Arabidopsis thaliana: one gene and its partners. The protein of the gene in region 1 interacts with the protein of each later gene in a pairwise test. Each region holds a gene or a part of one and is shown on either strand. Other genes may lie near its edges.

Region 1 (6,767 bases):
CTCTCCGCCGGAAAAACAAACGGACATCAAGATTCCGTCGCTTGTCTCGCCGGACTAGGAATCAGTCCAAAAGACCAACGAATGATCGTCGAATCTTTAATCAGCATAATCCCTCCACAGAAAGATTCCGTCACTTGTAGCTTCCTCCTCCGTCTTCTTAGAGCAGCAAACATGCTCAAAGTAGCTCCGGCGTTGATCACGGAGCTCGAGAAACGCGTAGGGATGCAATTCGAACAAGCGACGCTTCAAGATCTTTTGATTCCTGGTTATAACAATAAAGGAGAGACAATGTACGATGTTGATCTTGTTCAGAGATTGTTGGAACATTTTCTTGTGCAAGAACAGACGGAAGGATCGAGTCCGAGTCGAATGTCGCCGTCGCCGTCGCAGTCTATGTACGCCGATATCCCGAGAGGGAATAACAACAATGGTGGTGGTGGTGGTGGTAATAATCAGAATGCGAAAATGAGAGTGGCGAGGCTTGTGGATAGTTATCTCACCGAAGTTGCTAGAGATCGGAATTTGCCGTTGACAAAGTTTCAGGTTTTGGCTGAGGCGTTACCGGAATCTGCTAGGACTTGTGACGATGGACTATACAGAGCCATTGATTCATATCTCAAGGTATATATATATTGAAGGTCTTTTTGGTAAATTCGTAGAATAGTTTTCAACATTTTTTTGGCTTAATTTTGTTGTGATAGGCGCATCCGACATTATCGGAGCATGAGAGGAAACGGCTATGCCGAGTGATGGATTGTCAAAAACTATCAATGGACGCATGTATGCACGCGGCTCAGAACGAGAGGTTGCCATTGAGAGTGGTGGTTCAAGTTCTCTTCTCGGAGCAAGTCAAGATCAGCAATGCTTTAGCCAACACATCACTCAAGGAGTCAACCACTTTAGGAGAAGCCATGGGTACGTATCAGCCTATGATCCCAAATCGCAAGACATTGATCGAAGCAACACCACAATCGTTTCAGGCAAGTAAGAGAAAACACTCATCAAAATTCACACAAATTCCTTTTTTCTAATTCCTCTACTTTGAATGCAGGAAGGATGGGCTGCAGCCAAGAAGGATATTAACACGTTGAAGTTCGAGTTAGAGACGGTGAAGACCAAGTACGTCGAGCTTCAGAACGAGATGGAAGTGATGCAACGACAGTTTGAGAAGACGGGGAAAGTGAAGAACACGCCATCTTCTTCGGCTTGGACCAGCGGTTGGAAGAAGCTAAGTAAACTGACTAAGATGAGTGGACAGGAGAGCCATGACATATCCTCTGGAGGAGAACAAGCTGGTGTTGATCATCCACCCCCCAGGAAACCAAGACGATGGAGGAACTCAATTTCATGAAGTGATAGTGATGGTTTTGTATCTTCTTGATTTTGATTCTTTGAAAAGAAAAAGCTTTTGTTTGTTCCTAATTTGTAATGTTTATTGGTTTCTAATATGGAATAAGTGACATAAACGATTCGATTTTTATCACAAACCAAAAAACGCCATTTGTTTATTACAAAACCATTTAACAATACAACAATAGAGACACAACAATACCAGTAGCATGTGGGTTGAAGCAAAAGACAAAGGAATAGTTTGCATTATTACAGACACTCAAATTAATTACATGAACATGACATCAATATTTCATAAAAATCATGGACCCATCTAGTCATCATATGGACAAAAGAGTGTGTGTGGGTCAGAGATATTTTATTACCTTAGGGGAGATTCATAGATCACGCGAGCTTGAGATGAGACTTTGAATATTTGCCTTTTGATTTCACCATCCACACTCAGCCAAAAAAGATAATCATTGTCCATCAATGACCATGACGACTTTGGCTTTTCATTCCACACAGAGAGAAGAAGAAAGTGACCTCTTTTCTTCTTTAACTTTTTGAAATTTGCAGTAGCATATATAATACTTAAAAGTAGTCCACTATATACAGCTAAAAAGCTGGTGCAGAGGATACGTACCCAAAAACCCACTTCACACGTTTTAACTCGTCAGAATCTTTCACGCCTTATCTGTCTGCAGATTTCTTGTTCCCCATGTTGTCTCTTTAAGCAACAAGATTGGTGACTTGTGAGTGGTGGAGCTTTGGTTCTTAACCTCTGTGGAGATTAAGTCTCGTTTCAGCAACTTTAGGTAATCAATTGCTTCGTCCAGAAGTAAGAGCGCTTCGTTTCCTTTTGCACCAGGGACTACGCTCTCGAGTATTTTCAGAGCTGTGCGGATCTTGTCTTTCTTCGACTGCTCGTTGCTCAGACCAGAACCAGTGTCCTCTTTGGTCGATATGGTTTTTGATTCAGGGAGCTTTTTGTCCTTAAGAAAGGAAGATCCATTGAGTTGTGTGGAGCTCTCAGTGCCCACAAGTGATGATAAGTCGCTGATGTTGTTGACCTTATCCAGTAGTTTCTGCCTTTTACAAGGACCATCGATTTCTTCTAATTCCCTTTTGTTGCAAACTCCTTCATTTGGATAAGGAGAGTGACCAGTGCTCATTACTTCATCATCACTCTCGCAATCATCATCATAATCATCATCTGAATATAGCAATGCATTGATCTCCTCAGTGTCTTCATGCATTTCTGACTCTGTTCCATCACTCTTGTGAAACTCTTCACCATCTTCTTTGAAAGCTTTCTCTATACCTTGTAACTCAGAGAGTTTCACTGGTTCTGCAGCCGCATGAGATGGAAACCGTAGAGGAAATGGACATTGTAATAGACGAGTCTGGTCTCCTGACTGATCGAATATCAAAAGTCTTTTCTGAGAAGACTCTAATGCTCCAAGTGGAGTAGTAGTAGTAGTAGCAGCAGCGCACCAAGACCGCATGTCAGACCGTGAGAATCTTTTTCCATAAGACTCCTTATCATGACTGCACAGCAAAGACTGGAATGGTGGTGGCTGCAAACAGCGAGCCTGAAGCTTAGCTGCATATAGTTTCCCAAGCTCAGGGAGAGGAATTCTAGGAAGGACAGACCGACCTACTATATCCTTGAAGCAAGCTTGAGGACTTAAGCCCAGAGGCAAATCCCGTTGCCTCTTATCCAGAGGCATGCTCTTAGCAGTTTAGCTCAAGGGAACTTCAAAAAGTACAACACTGCAGGACAAAACAGAGGCAAAAATCAGCTCAAGAAAGATAAAGTCAGTAATATCACAAGCGTAATTAGAGGGAAAAGAGCATACCGATTGTTAAGTTGCTCAACTGAGTGAATGCAATACTTCTTGTGTCCTTTTCGAGAAAATAGTAAAAGAAAGACGAACGAAAAACAATCACAGATTGAAAAATGCAGCGAAATGTCACCAACCAACTACGTGACTGGTTTGAGTAGAAGTCTGAAGTACTCAGCCTGAAACACAAAGAATAATCACAAAACCACAGTGTTAGAAGACTAGAACTATATAAGCTAAAAGTATGATAACAAGAGCATTATTGTCTGGTACAAACCTGGCAATTATCCATCGGTTGATAGCATTCAATAACTCTCACTACAATTGTTGATTCGTTAGCGTTTCCGGTCTCGTACTTCAATCCTCGAAATCTTGTCTTACCAGGTGATTGGCACACCATAACTTTGAGGAAATCTTGATTGAAGAAAGTAGACAGATACCAAAACCAAAAGGAGGAAAGTTTTGTTTGTGGAAGGAGAGTGAGCTTTTAGTCTAGCTGATTCTTTGTTCACAATGGTACACATAGAAATGTTGTGATCCCATTTTCAAAAGTGTTTATAATATACCGAAAAAGAAGGGAAGATGAATAAGAAAGAAAAGGATTTGACTCTTGAAGGTGTTGCTTCAAAGGTGAAACAATCTACAGTATCACACGGCAATACAGATTCAAGCTCAAAACTTTACGGTATACGGCAATACACATGCTGTTTTCTCTTTCTCTTCCTCTTATACACACTCTAATTGATTCTGATCACTCAAACCTACTTTAGTATCTGTGCAAAAAGTCGAAGGAAGAATCTCATCAGCACCAAAAATGAGCTAAATCCAGAGATCAAAAACAGTAAAGGACATAGATTTATAAACGTCTAGCAAGTGGGTGTATTCACAGCATCAATTCCAGCAAAATTACGCTACATTTTACTATTACAACTCAGAATATACACAAATCACAATGTTCTAAGCTAGATTCAGACATAAATTACAGAACTTTACCATTTCACAAACGACTCAAACCGTTTTTAACCACAGTCTCCAGATACACAAACAGAGAGAACAGTGACACAGACTATAAGAGAGAAAAATTGGATTTTGATTACCTTAGAAAGGAATGATCTTTCGGTCAGATCCAGAGAAAACGATGAGACTTTTTTGTTTTTTTTTGAGCTGAATCAATGGAAAAGCAAAGGGATAAGAGAGATGAAAGTGACCAACGAACAATAATGTCTAAACGGAGAATTTTTTTTTACGAAATATTTCTAAAGAGGTGAGTGGCAACAAGAGTAACAAGGCTTTATAAAAAGATTTTATGACGCTTTTGCCCTTTTCATTACTTTATTTTACCAATTCACATTCTCAATTTTTTCGGTTTTTTGTTTGTTCTATATATCGAAATTAATTTTCATTCTATATTTTTTTAAAAGAAAAAAACTAAGATACGCAAAAGGTAACATAATTTAAGTTGTACAATTTGAATTTTTAATTATTTAGAGGAAAAATATGTGTAACTTGGAAATTAATCTAGTAATTAAAAACGGTGGCAATGTTTATATTTGTGCTTTGCTTGAAAGAAATGGGACAAGGGGGCCGAACGTGTATATACGTAATTATGGTATATATGATGACAAAGTCTCACGGTCCATAATTTCAGGTTATACTTTATCATTAAATAATATTTTTCTAACCAATATAATTTTTTAATATATACTTAATTCGTTAAAGTAAAAGTTCATACGTTTTCTCTTATTTATTTTAAAAGCTAAGTTAGTGAAAGTGTGGTCGAGCTTTATTATATCCTTAATTATTTTCTAAATAAATACTATTTCAGGTTATAATCCCTCTTTAATTTTATTGAAAGCTAAGTTAGTGAAAGTGTGCTCAAGCTTTTTTTCATCCTTAATTATATTTTAATAGTACATTTGTTCAGGTGCGGTGTTGTGTGTGTTTCAAACACCCATTGTGACGGAAAAGAATAAAAGCTAACCACTCTTTTTAATTGTTTAATTTAAATTGACAATTTAGCATCTATCTAGCTTATACAACGCCAAAATTAGCTCAATACTTTTGTTTTATTTTTAAAAATATTATGTAGACTTTCATTTATGTTAAAAGTTATTATTCATAAAAGGACTTATGTGATTGGGGAATGTGGGTGAAAAGAAAAAGAAAAGTAAAAAGAATGAAAATGAAAATGGAGAAAAGAAAAAGAAAAAAGAAGCATAAGTGATGATTAAAGAATTGCACGGGAATTTTAAGTGCTTAATTACCCGCACGACTTCTCTCGCGTCTCTCTCTTTTTTCTTCCTTTCTTTTGTTAACTTATGTATCTTGTCTGAAAAAGTTTTTAACTTTAGTCTTTTTTCTTCCTTTGATTTGATATTAAGAACAGTAATTTATACTGTGTTTTGAATTAGAAGTGGTCAATTCAAATTTCATTATGGTTGAGACCATTTGCTTTGGGTCTGATATGTCATTAAGATTGAAGTTTTAGTTTGATTCTTTTGTGCTTTTTATTGGCATTTTGATTGAATAAACAAAACCATTTTAATCAAAATAAAAAAACGGGAATAATATCATAATATAGTACAAACATTCCAACTGAAACACGAGACGGGTCTTTTCTTTTATTTAGATAAAAACGTTGTCCAAGAGTTTTAGAAGAGCAATGACATCACAAAGTTTTGTTGCATAAAGATCCCAGAAGCAATAAACATAAAGGGTTGTTTAATAATCTACCCACAGTTTAGGAGCTGGGGAGATCATTACTGCACGCTCAGTACTTCGATTTCAAAGTCGAGAACAGAGTTTGGCTGGATCCCCCATGCCGGAAATCCACCAGCGCCATATGCGTAATCCGATGAGCACTGCAGAAGCAGATAAGATCGCAAGCCAAAGATGTTAAACATATAACGAAACACCCAAACTATCATGAAAGACAAAAGTGCTTCAACAGAGAGCCATAAAAGCATAGATGGCAAAGAGGAACATGATGAGAGAAGCAGAGTATACATACCCGCAAGCGAGCAACCTCTCCAATTTGCATTCCGATAACGCCTTCATCCCATCCTGTAAGCAAAGTTAAACAATCGAATCATATGATGTTCACTCGCCAAAAAAGAGGCAAATAGGTTCAGAGATATGATATGATTAACCATAAAACAGAGTAAGTAAGTTTATACCTTTGATCACAGCACCTTTACCGATTTGGAACGAGAAAGGTTTTTGTCCCTCGTCCTTTGTACTATAATGATATACCAAAGAACAAAACACAGTTAGGCTCAAGGAAATACCAAATTAAATAAGTCTTTTAAGACGAAACATATTGATTTATAAACTGAGTATGCGTAGATGATAAGAACAAGTAAGTGTAATTATCTTTTTATTGATCCTAGAATCAAAGCTTACAATAAAGAATTATTTACCTCCAGAACTTCTGGGATAGATCACCATCTTTCCCTGCCAAAAAAAACACACACACAAGAGAAATAAGATTCTCAAACAAATTCATTTCAATTCCACACAAGAAACTGGATTATAAGATAAACAAGATTCTTTAATTAAACCTACAAATAGAAAATCTAAACAAGAGATCTA
Region 2 (4,549 bases), about 24 Mb from region 1:
TTGTTCTCAGTGAGCTTCTCCGATTCCCAAGTTTCTGATCTAAACGCCGATGAGAATTTTCTTAACAGTCAGAGGGTGGTTTCTTTCGCCGGTTAAAGACTCTTTCCGTTTAAGAGAAGCAAACAAATATTATGGGCCATTAAATATGATTTTTAAGCCCATTTTATGGACTCATCTGAAAGCCCATTTTAAATCAATGTTGTTAATCCTTTGAAAAAAAAATATGCAAAAGATCAGTTTTCTTTTCTCAACCTCAAAGATCAGTTTGGTGCTGCTTCTCAATATGTGTTTGGTACTTATGCTCAGTCTTTGGCATTTGGTCAAATTTGTCTTGGGAAGCAGAAGTGGAGAGGTTGTTCACACAAACATTACTTTGTTTTTTGTATGGTTAATTTGGCTATTATCTAAAATTTTGTTTCTTATATAGAACACAAATCATTACAATATTTTATTTTTGATTGTAGAAATCATATAAAATGTTCAAAAATGTGTTTTTTTAGTAATTTGATATAGAGATTAAATGAATAAAACAATATAGAATGTTTTCTTTGTTCTATACCATTTCATGTTATATGTTCTATGTAAACAAAACCATTTACTCAAAACGATCAAAGACGCACTTTCTTAATTTTCCATAGTACAGTGTCATAAGCTTCGTTTTATTATCGAACTAGGTCATTGCTGCAAGTGACCCTTCAAAAATTGCACTAGGAAGAAGCCTAGGTGACTCAGAAGCGCAAATTGCAAAATGCAAAAGATTGCACTAGAGATTTTACCTCTAATTACAAGAGAGATTTAAAAGGCAAAGAGAAAATCTGAAAGCCGTGGTTAAGTTATTCATTAAGACAATCCATCAAAGAAACCATGAGTTTCAGTTGCGAAAGTGTGTTGGACAGCCTCAGGTACCAGTTGCGATTTACGAAATGTGTTGAAAGTGTGTTATAGTCCCCTTTTTCCTTCTCAGGTAGCTAATAACCAATCAATATCTTTGCTTTTGAAGGAAAGACAGGTCGTCGCACCATCCAATCTACGTGCTTCAGATCTTCTCTGGTGACGGATTCGTGCTCCTTCTCAATCCTCATCAACTTGTTTAACGTGTGCGCTATTCCCTCCGGCTCAGTGAGAGATTGCAGTTTCTCGAACATGCATGATTCTCTTCTTCTCCATCCTCCTATTTTCCACTTTTGTCTTCGCAAGTACATCAACCCTGATCGATGTCGGAGCATACTCCGTTGTACAGACCCTTTTCAAGAGATGGCTACTAGAACCAATGATACGGCGGAAGTTCATCGTCAATCCAAGCTCTCAAAGTTCACTAACCCTAATTATAATACATATAGCTTTCTTCTTATCTCCAATTAATGTGCTATTTATAAAAATGTTTACAAAGTTTATAAACCTTGATTACATAGATGTTCAATATCATAAGTTTAATCCAATCTGTATATTTTAATGCTGAAAAGATAGCTAAGAAACTATATAGATTTTAATTTGGTATGTTAGAGTTGAATATCTTGTTTAAACCTTGACTATACATAGATGTTCATTATCTTAAGTTTAATCCAATCTGTCATACTAAGCCATGTATATCACAAGAAAGTCTGAAAATGTGCTATATGTCATAGTAAAATTATTAAGTTAATGCTTTTTTGATGTGAGAATCAGCATTATAGATTTGATGGTAAAATGCTTCCATCAGTTTCTCTACTCTTATTAAAAGGTAGCCAAATTTAGTTTAATTACTTACTTTTAATATATATTTTCATTATGTTGATATGAAAATAATTTTATTTTTATTACCTCCAAAGTGATGTATATGAAAATAAATAAAATTGCAAGCAATGGAAAACAATAGAAAACTTAAAGGTAAATATTTTATTTAAGAGTTGAGATAATTATGTACTAAAAGTTTACTACATAATGACACTAATTAAATCTTTAATTCTTGTTTTCTAAAGTTGACTACATTAAGATCTACTAATTAACTCTTTAAACTCTTCTAAATAATTTTGTTTTCAACTATATCTCAAATTTAATAGGGCAAAACCAAAATCTCCCTACTCACTTTGGAAATCAGTAATGTTTGGAACTAATTTTGACTAAATATGCTAAATGCAACAAGTATTAATTCAGAAACAAATTTACTACGCAAATTCGGCAAATGTAAAATGTCAAATATATATAGTAATTAAACATGTTATGTGTGAGTTGTCGAAATGATAAACTAGTTTGTTAAGTACTTCAGTTAGTCTTTGTTCTTCATCATGTTTCTCTATAACTAAGTCCCTTTCCATATTTCATCAATATGCATTTATCTTATTCAAACATCATAACATTACAACATATAACTTTCCTTGATATTAAAAGTGCATACAAAGTATTAAATCTTTAAATACCTATCCGGGTGCAATAACATATTCAAGCCATCAAACCTAATTTCTAAAAGCCCGATCCGATCGACAACGAAATGTTGTCCTCGGACTCGAATTACGCTAGTGATATTAGCGACGATGCCTCCGCCACCGGATCGATAGAGAATCCTATATACAAATGCAAGTATTGTCCTAGGAAGTTCGATAAAACACAAGCATTAGGTGGTCATCAAAATGCACACAGAAAGGAGAGAGAGGTCGAAAAACAACAAAAAGCATTTTTGGCGCATTTGAACCGACCAGAACCAGATCTTTACGCGTACTCGTATTCGTATCATCATTCATTTCCTAACCAATACGCACTCCCACCGGGATTTGAACAGCCTCAGTACAAAGTTGATAGATCATACAAGATGTCCATGGTCTACAACCAATATGTGGGATCCTCAAGCTCTAGCTTTGCAGGACTACAAAGTGACCCAAGTCAAGGAATGAACCAGGATTGGACCTTTACCGGGATCCCATTCCTACCCCAATCTCAACCTCAACCACTATCGTCACCAATATGTTTGGATCTTTGCCTTGGCATTGGTAGCTCCCAAACCCAACCACAACCTCAAGAACCAAATGATGCAACAGAAGAGATGGATGCTGAGAAAGAAAATGATGGTTCTTCCCTTTCTCTCTCACTCAAACTGTGAAATTGTAATCTTTCCCTTTTAAGTATTTCTTAAACTTTCATTCCTCACCTTTGTTTTCTTGCATAGTATTATCGGCTTGTGTCAAATCAGTACTTGTGCACTTGAACATTGTAATAAACTTGGTTGTTATTTGCATTTGAATTTCATATAATAATAAAAACTTGATATTGTTCTGACTTTGGGGTGTCAAATTCTATTTATAAGAATTTGAGATGCAAATCTCAATTTTAGTTACTTTATGATACCAATATAAAAAAAAAAACCACTCTTTCGAAAGGATGCGGGTTTTGAAATACTTTCGAGCTCCTTCTTCTCTCCGTCATCGTTCCTCTCCCATGGCTCAGTTTCTTCGACGCTTCTCTTCCTCTCCCATGGCGAACGAAGACGAATTCCAATCTCCGGTGGAACCATCACAGCAGCAATCTCAGGACTGTGTTTCGGAGTCTTATCTGATAGGGTTTGTTATCGCGAACATAGTAGGGTTAAAGTACTATTCCGGCCGAATCAACGGTCGAGAGATGGTGGGTCTGGTTCGAGAACCCTTGAACGTATATGACAATAATGCAATCAGAGTACTCAACACGCGATCTGAGCAAGTGGGTCACATCGAGCGTACAGTAGCAGCCGTTCTCGCGCCGATGATTGATTCTCACACGATCGTCGTCGAGGGTATTGTACCCAATACTCGTTCTAACTCCAATAGGTACAGAATCCCTTGTCAAATTCATGTATTTGCAAAGTTAGAAGCGTCCTCTACTGTGAAATCGACGATTTCTAGAGGTGGGTTAGTATTGATTTCGGAGTCAGATACATCGTTTGGGTTATCTGAGGCTGTTGTGGTTAAGGAACAGATGGGAAATGGAGATAAGAGGAGTGTTGATAAGATTTTTAAACTTGTTGATGAGAATGTGAAGTTAATGGGGAAATTGGTAGCGGCTGAGCCACCTAGGGAAGTGATAAAGTCTGAACTTTTTGCTCATCAGAAGGAAGGATTAGGCTGGTTACTCCATAGAGAGAAATCTGGAGAATTGCCTCCGTTTTGGGAGGAGAAAGATGGAGAATTTTTGAATACTTTGACGAATTACCGCTCGGATAAGCGGCCTGATCCTTTGCGTGGAGGGGTGTTTGCTGATGATATGGGGTTGGGTAAGACCCTTACTTTGCTTTCCCTGATAGCTTTTGATAGATATGGCAATGCATCCACCAGTACGCCAACCGAAGAGCCTTTGGATGGTGAAGGAGACAAGATTGAAAAGAAGGGTAAAAAGAGAGGAAGAGGCAAGAGCAGTGAAAGTGTAACTCGAAAGAAGCTTAAAACTGATGATGTTGTTGGCATGAATGTGTCTCAAAAGACAACGTTGATCGTTTGTCCACCTTCTGTGATTTCAGCATGGATAACACAGTTAGAGGAGCATACTGTACCGGGAATCTTGAAGGTGTATATGTATCATGGTGGCGAAAGGACAGACGATGTTA
Region 3 (6,395 bases), on another chromosome or scaffold:
TTCCATTGACAAAAATATTGTCGCACTTAAGGTCACGGTGAATTACAGGAGGGGTCTGAGAATGCAAATAGTGCAGGCCTTTAAGAATCTGCCTTGCCCAGTTCATGATGGCCTTGGGATCAACTTTGCGGTGCTTCTTGCGATAACTTTGGACCAAGAGAAATGACAATCAATGGAAAGGCAGACGTAGATATATTATAAGAGATAATGAAAAGAGAAGAAGAGAGGAGAGGAGTAAGTAGACATACAGGGTGAGACTACCAGAGGTGAAAAGCTCAGTGATCATGTTGATGGACTTGTTATGATCATCAACCCAAGAGTAGAAGAGTTTGATGATGTTATCATGTTTAAGGGAATTGAGGAGATGGACTTCGGAATATAGCCTATCAAGTTGGCCAGGCATCTGCAAGACATCTTCAATGCTCATGAGGTTCCAAGCAACTTCAATACCTTCGACTTCATCAAATGCCTTATATCTACACGCGGCGAGGTAACAACAACAACAAGAGATGAGAAAAATACTTAAAAAGCAATCAGAGTAACATAGGCACTGCAATGAAAAAGTAAAGGACGTATAAACAAACAAACATACACAGTTTTGAAGGCTCCTCTCCCGAGAACGTCATTATACTGAAGAAAGAAAGAAGAAGATTGTTATCCTAAAGTGACCTTCCAAGCCATTAACGTAGCTATTACTTATATAAATCTTATCGAGGAAAAGTCTATAGATTGACATTGTTATCCTAGAAACCATGGAAATTGCAGATAGCGTCGTACCCTAATGTAGCGACCAGTGGGATCTTTCTGGACGAAGTCAGCCTCTTCCATGGCAGATATTCTAACCTAATGATACTAATAATCCGGAAGCAGAAGAAGAAGAAGAAGAAAGGAGGGATGATGATTGGTGGTTACAGAAGGGTGAGGAGATGGAAGGAGATTGGATCGGAGAAGGCCTCACGGGCGAAGCAATAGGAGTCGATCGCCGATCGGAATCGAGATCGGGAACAGAGGAGTGTGGCGGCCATCTCCGAGATGATGACGGTGGTGAGATGGTTCTGCGTTTGTGTCAGCGTCGTGTCTCTTATTATTGTTATTGGATAGAAGAAGAAGAGCATCTCCTCCATTCATCAACCATCCACCATTGCTTTTAGACAACGACCGATGAAGAAGCTTCAATTTCGCCACCAAATTTCACAAATATCAACAAAAATCAATTTCTCTCTCTCTCTCGAAACCCTAAAAACAGATTGAGGATTTGATCTTTGTTCAACTTTTTATTTATATACAGTGTCTCCCCTTTATCCTCGTCAAGGATAACGGGCATCTATTTTCTGATTCAGTCAGTTAACTGTTATCCACCCAAAACGGTGTCGTTACGTTCCTTTTTTCTTTAAATGGGCCTTCTTTCTTTGTCTTAGTCAATGTTTTAAAGCCCATACAATCTTCTTCTTTTTTTTCCACGAGCCCATACAATCTTCTTTGATGTAATGTTACTACTATTTATCAACAGATTCTTGTGTTGTTGTTGTAACAAAAAGAAAGAAAATCAAAGTGGTAGGTATTATACTATGATAATAAATCATCATGTTTGGTGTGGTGTTGAAAGAGCTGAACAAGTGAGTACAAGACTTGAATCCTTGTGACTTGTGGCTTTGCCTGTACGATGAAGTGTGCCCATATTTGTCCTTTTCTTGTTTCCATCACTCCTTTCAATATCTTCAATCCCAATCCTCTCACCACTTGTCCTATCTCCAAGAACTCCTCTCTTTCCTCACACACCATCTCTATCTGCATTTCTCCTTCCCTGTTCAATTCCTCCACCATTATCGGACATACCACTCCTTCTTCCCCCACTTCCAACGCCCATGTTCTCTCTTTCTCCTTCACCAGCTGATAAACATCATTCACTCATCAATACTCAAACACTTGTGTACTTACTGAATGGATATATTTGATTCATTACCTTAGACTCGTATGGTTGTTTGAGTCTCTCTGCATACTTGGCGAGGCTTTGCATGAACACCATGTGTTTTATGGTCAGATCCAGCAACGTATCTATGCTACACTGTTTAAATATATATCGAAACTTATTAGAGAATGCATTTGTTAATCTATAATTTGGATGCCCTAAACTAAACTATATTATTATTCAATTTACCTTAGCTCCATTTGGAATCATCCCTCGCAACTCCTTGATACGGTCTTGTATCATCTGACGGTCCTTAGGCCTCGGCCTCCTGCTTTCTCCTGCCTTTGCTCTTTTCTTCTTCACACCTTCTTCGTGAGGCTTCTTCCAGTTCCCTCCAATACTTGATCTCTCATCATCATCAATCCACAAACTCCGACTTGTTACTGTCTCCTCCTGAGGGAACAAGCTTGAGCTATGCGCCGATGATGTATCAAGCTTCCGTCTTTTGCTCTGGTTCACACCAGAGTACTCTTGCACGTTCGTGAGAGAACTACTACAAGTGTTGTTGCTAAGACTGCTGCTTATGAGCTCTGAGAAGAGTCCTTTAGGTGGCAAAGCCATTGTAGGCGTTTGAGAATTCATCCCCAAAATGTCGAAAAGATCCTTGTCAACTCCTTGGATCACCATGGAAGAGCAGTTCTGTTCTGGTGGATCAGCGAGCAGCTGGTATAGATCGTCCAGAGAGTAAGACTGGAGAATGTCGAACCCATAATCATCTCCATTGGTCAGATCTTGGTTGGAAGAAGCTGCTTCAGAGGAGATCATCTCAGGGCTGAGCAAAGAAGGAGGATTGTCCTCAGCGAAGATGTCATCAAAGCTAAATCCTTGAAAAGATTCAGCTGGGAAAATCTCACAATCTCCCAGTGACTCAAACAGAGTATCGAGATCACCGGAATCATGTGGCTTTAAACACGTCTCCTGGAGAGCTCTTGTTGTTTGTTCCAATATCTCTGTGCTCTCAAGAATCTAAAGATTGATAGTAAGTAATTAGACCATGACTTCCACAACAAGAAAACATTGTTATATAATTATATATGCAAACCTTTTGAGTAGATCCTAGCTGAACAACGCCGCTGGATCCTAGTGGAATGATTGCGATAGTCTGTGTATAAGTAAACTGCCGTATAAGAATCTGATTCAAAATGGATATATGAATCCTTAAACTTGGAGAGAAGACAAAATATAAATTACCTTAAAGCCACAGAGAAACTGATTCTGAAACTCATGTTCCCACTGCAAAACAATCAAACGCACGAATATCAAATCTTTTTTCTTCTTCATCATGAAATGTTCTATGCAGTCACTATATTTCGACATACATTATAGCTCACAGATGAGAAAAATCAAACACCAAGAAAAAGAAGTGAACAAACCTGAAACAATGTGTCTGAGAACAGCCATTGATGGTTTCCGGATGAAGCTACTTCTCCCACAATTCTAATTTCATCAAAAGAAAAGTATATTGAAGATATATAAACACAAACACAGAGACAGATATATAAAAGATTTGAGTGAAGTGTAAAAGCATACCCTTGGCCTAAGATAGGAGCCTGGAGAACCATATCATCAACTAGTGCGACTGATTGTTCATCATTGTATGCTTCTTCAAATCTCAATATCCTGATGGAATTCAACAAAACTAAATTACATTTATGGACACCAAAGTAGGGAAGCCACATATAAAACCAGAGGATATGCAATTCAGTCTTTTGCCTAAATCAACGGAAAACAAAACTAGTTTTATGCAAATATTATCCAAGACAGGAACATGCATATAACATTCGAAAGAAAAAAGAGAGAAATTACATGGAATTGATGGGATCATAACGCCAAAACACAGCATAAGACCATCCATGGCTTAAACAGAGACTCTTCAATATATGCTTATACTCTGAACCCATATTTAGGAATCCAAGCCGGGAAGAGCCCTTTTAATTTCTGCAGGATCTCGAACTCTTAAAAAGGACAACAACTTTTGTCTTCTCCAGAAACCAAACTCCAAAGATAAAGAAAAGCTGGAAACAGAGGAAAAATGTGGGTTTTTGAGTTTTCTCTTTTTTTCTTTAATTTTCTGCAGATAGAAAAAAATACAGAGAAAATTCCTTTGAGTTTTGCTTTTTGTTCAAGCAATTAAAAAGGAGTTAAGAGCTTTGTCTCTCTATATATATAACCAAACAATAACATGAAATGTTTGTAATTCGATAAGAAGTGGAAGAGCCTTTTTGTCTGAGGAATTAAATATATTACTATTATTTATTTGATGTGATTTGTCTGCCGGTGTCCAGTCACGCTTTTGTCCCGGAAGTGACGTGAATTACACCGGCTATTGCCGGTTTAGTGAAAAAGTTTGCTTTGATTACTATATATTTATTTGTTGTCTTTTGAAAAATTTAGGACGGGAGAGGATCTTCGAGGGTATAATTTCCATAAAGGGAGATTTTATTTTGATTTTACTTTTTATCATCGATTCATTAAATACTCGATACGAATTTATGATATACTTTAATAGTATTCAATATATTTAGATATGATTAATTAACTAACATTTGATGAAAATTTCTATAGTGGAAACTGGTGCAATGGAAAAATAAAAATGAGGAGAATGTGATCCCCACAACAGAGGAAGATAAATGGTGCTGTGGAGTTTCTAGCGATCATCTTCTCCCTCGTATCCTATATCTTGAACATCATATTAAAGCTTAACATCGACCGTTTTTGGTTGGAAAATATGGTTTAGAGTTATAAAGAAAGAATGACCGCCTCTTTAGTGTATGGGCCAATGAGGTTCCCAAAATATGTGTCACCTAAATCTTGAATTCTCGGTATGATAATCTTGACTTAAGTAGTTCTCAAATCTCGATCCACTGCCTCATATAATTATATCAACAGTCTAACACCAATGTCGTCAGCAGTCACATACATTCGTAGAGTATGCATTCATATATAAGCCAGATATATACATATCATAAGAGATTTGTTATACCTATATTCATCCAAATGTTTAGTTGTGGTCTCTTGTGGTACCAACCTAAAAAAAATAAGGTTATGCTTCCGCCTTAAGTCTTGAGAGCTACTATCTTTTTTCTTTAATATAACTAAACATCTTATTATTATCAGGAAACCATGCATGTTTAATTTTAAGTTTATATAGAAGATCACAAGCAAGGAAAAATGTGAATGTTAAATAGACTTGAACATTAGTTCATGAATAGTATTAAACGTGTTTTAATTTGTTACTTTATTACTTTATTTTAGCTATTTATTTGTACATGGTGCTATTTTGTACCTATGTTTTGAGTTTTCAATGGATTATTTATATCTTAAAACTTTATACTATATAAACTCTGATATCAACCTTCGAATTTCATGATTTTACTGAATATTACTATGGAAATACGATATAAAATAGAATTTAGAGAACATCAAAGGCATATATAGCAAACGTTAGAAATACATGCCTCAATATTTGAGACCCATTTTTGTTACTCGCAAGTCGCGCAACATCTCACACCACACATTACATGCCTAAGCCTAAGTGCCACAAATACATCACCTTTAAAAAAAAAAAAAAAAAACTTCTCGGCCTAAGCTAATGTACATGCACTTAATACACTTTTAGCTTCTTGATAGTGGTAGAGAATATCAATAGATATCCACAAATCTTGAAATGGAATAAGTGATTATAATTACATATCAAATGAAGAAAAACTCATCAATCAATTTATTTTTTGGGGTTATTAGAAATAGCCATAATTTGGTCTCTTATACTCATCACACGCTCAATCATGGCCGTTGAGAACAAAAGTCAACGGCATCAAGATTTTCACCTTAATCCTTTTTCGTCTTTAGTTGATTTATTGTCCCTTTTCGAAACTTTCCGTTCTTATTACAATTGTGTCCGAAAGTGGTGAAATAAATCCAAAAGTTGGATTTTATGTTGTACACTTGCTTTTTGTTAGATAAGCTATTTTAAAACTTTTCGTTAAAATATGTGACTAGAGAACATATTTTTCTGTCAAAAACAAAACAAAATTCCTTTATCGCTTAAAACTTAAGAGTAACTCTAACTAACTACCATTAGTCCACATATATATGTACTAAGATAGAGATAGTGTTGGATTCATACTTTTCTTTAAATTTAGAGTATTTTATTCATAATATACATAATTTTTGTTAGATTTGATAATATATTTTTACTATGACAGTTGCAAATATGTATTGTTTATGTGACAAATTCTTTATTCAATGAGTTGTGGAAAACAAGGTAAAACTTATTATATAATCCAATCATATTTTTAAAAACAACTACAAAATATTACGAATTTATATGTCATGGTTAACCGCTAAAAACTTCATCTTTGAAAGCACACAAAATTTTTAAAATCTTTTGCATTTGACTCTTAATTTGTTCGAAAAAATAGCTATG

The links. The genes of interacting proteins can lie anywhere in the genome.
Region 2: the proteins of SAC51 (region 1) and AT5G05120 interact in a two-hybrid assay, tested with the Arabidopsis thaliana proteins (one large-scale study listed by BioGRID).
Region 3: the proteins of SAC51 (region 1) and AT1G64625 interact in a two-hybrid assay, tested with the Arabidopsis thaliana proteins (one large-scale study listed by BioGRID).

Annotation. Positions count from the first base shown.
Region 1 is NC_003076.8:25,728,875-25,735,641, forward strand, and holds SAC51 (transcription factor SAC51), read right to left. Parts: upstream 4,440-6,767; 5' UTR 4,274-4,439; intron 3,950-4,273; 5' UTR 3,454-3,949; intron 3,356-3,453; 5' UTR 3,192-3,355; intron 3,106-3,191; 5' UTR 3,063-3,105; coding exon 2,016-3,062; 3' UTR 1,461-2,015; downstream 1-1,460. Other genes in the region: Phototropic-responsive NPH3 family protein, read left to right, coding at 1-621, 702-980, 1,052-1,351; FKBP12 (FK506-binding protein 12), read right to left, coding at 5,936-6,037, 6,187-6,239, 6,353-6,414, 6,596-6,629.
Region 2 is NC_003076.8:1,508,765-1,513,313, forward strand, and holds AT5G05120 (C2H2 and C2HC zinc fingers superfamily protein), read left to right. Parts: upstream 1-2,467; coding exon 2,468-3,073; downstream 3,074-4,549. Other genes in the region: AT5G05110 (Cystatin/monellin family protein), read right to left, coding at 1-1; AT5G05113 (uncharacterized protein), read right to left, coding at 969-1,226; AT5G05130 (DNA/RNA helicase protein), read left to right, coding at 3,352-4,549.
Region 3 is NC_003070.9:24,014,353-24,020,747, reverse strand, and holds AT1G64625 (Serine/threonine-protein kinase WNK (With No Lysine)-like protein), read right to left. Parts: upstream 4,093-6,395; 5' UTR 3,871-4,092; coding exon 3,776-3,870; intron 3,590-3,775; coding exon 3,500-3,589; intron 3,407-3,499; coding exon 3,343-3,406; intron 3,203-3,342; coding exon 3,161-3,202; intron 3,102-3,160; coding exon 3,012-3,101; intron 2,936-3,011; coding exon 2,159-2,935; intron 2,066-2,158; coding exon 1,964-2,065; coding exon of another isoform or gene 1,919-1,963; exon of another isoform or gene 1,891-1,918; coding exon 1,567-1,890; 3' UTR 1,477-1,566; downstream 1-1,476. Other genes in the region: WNK10 (with no lysine (K) kinase 10), read right to left, coding at 1-146, 249-476, 593-630, 778-828. UniProt on the Arabidopsis thaliana protein: Transcription factor that may regulate root development.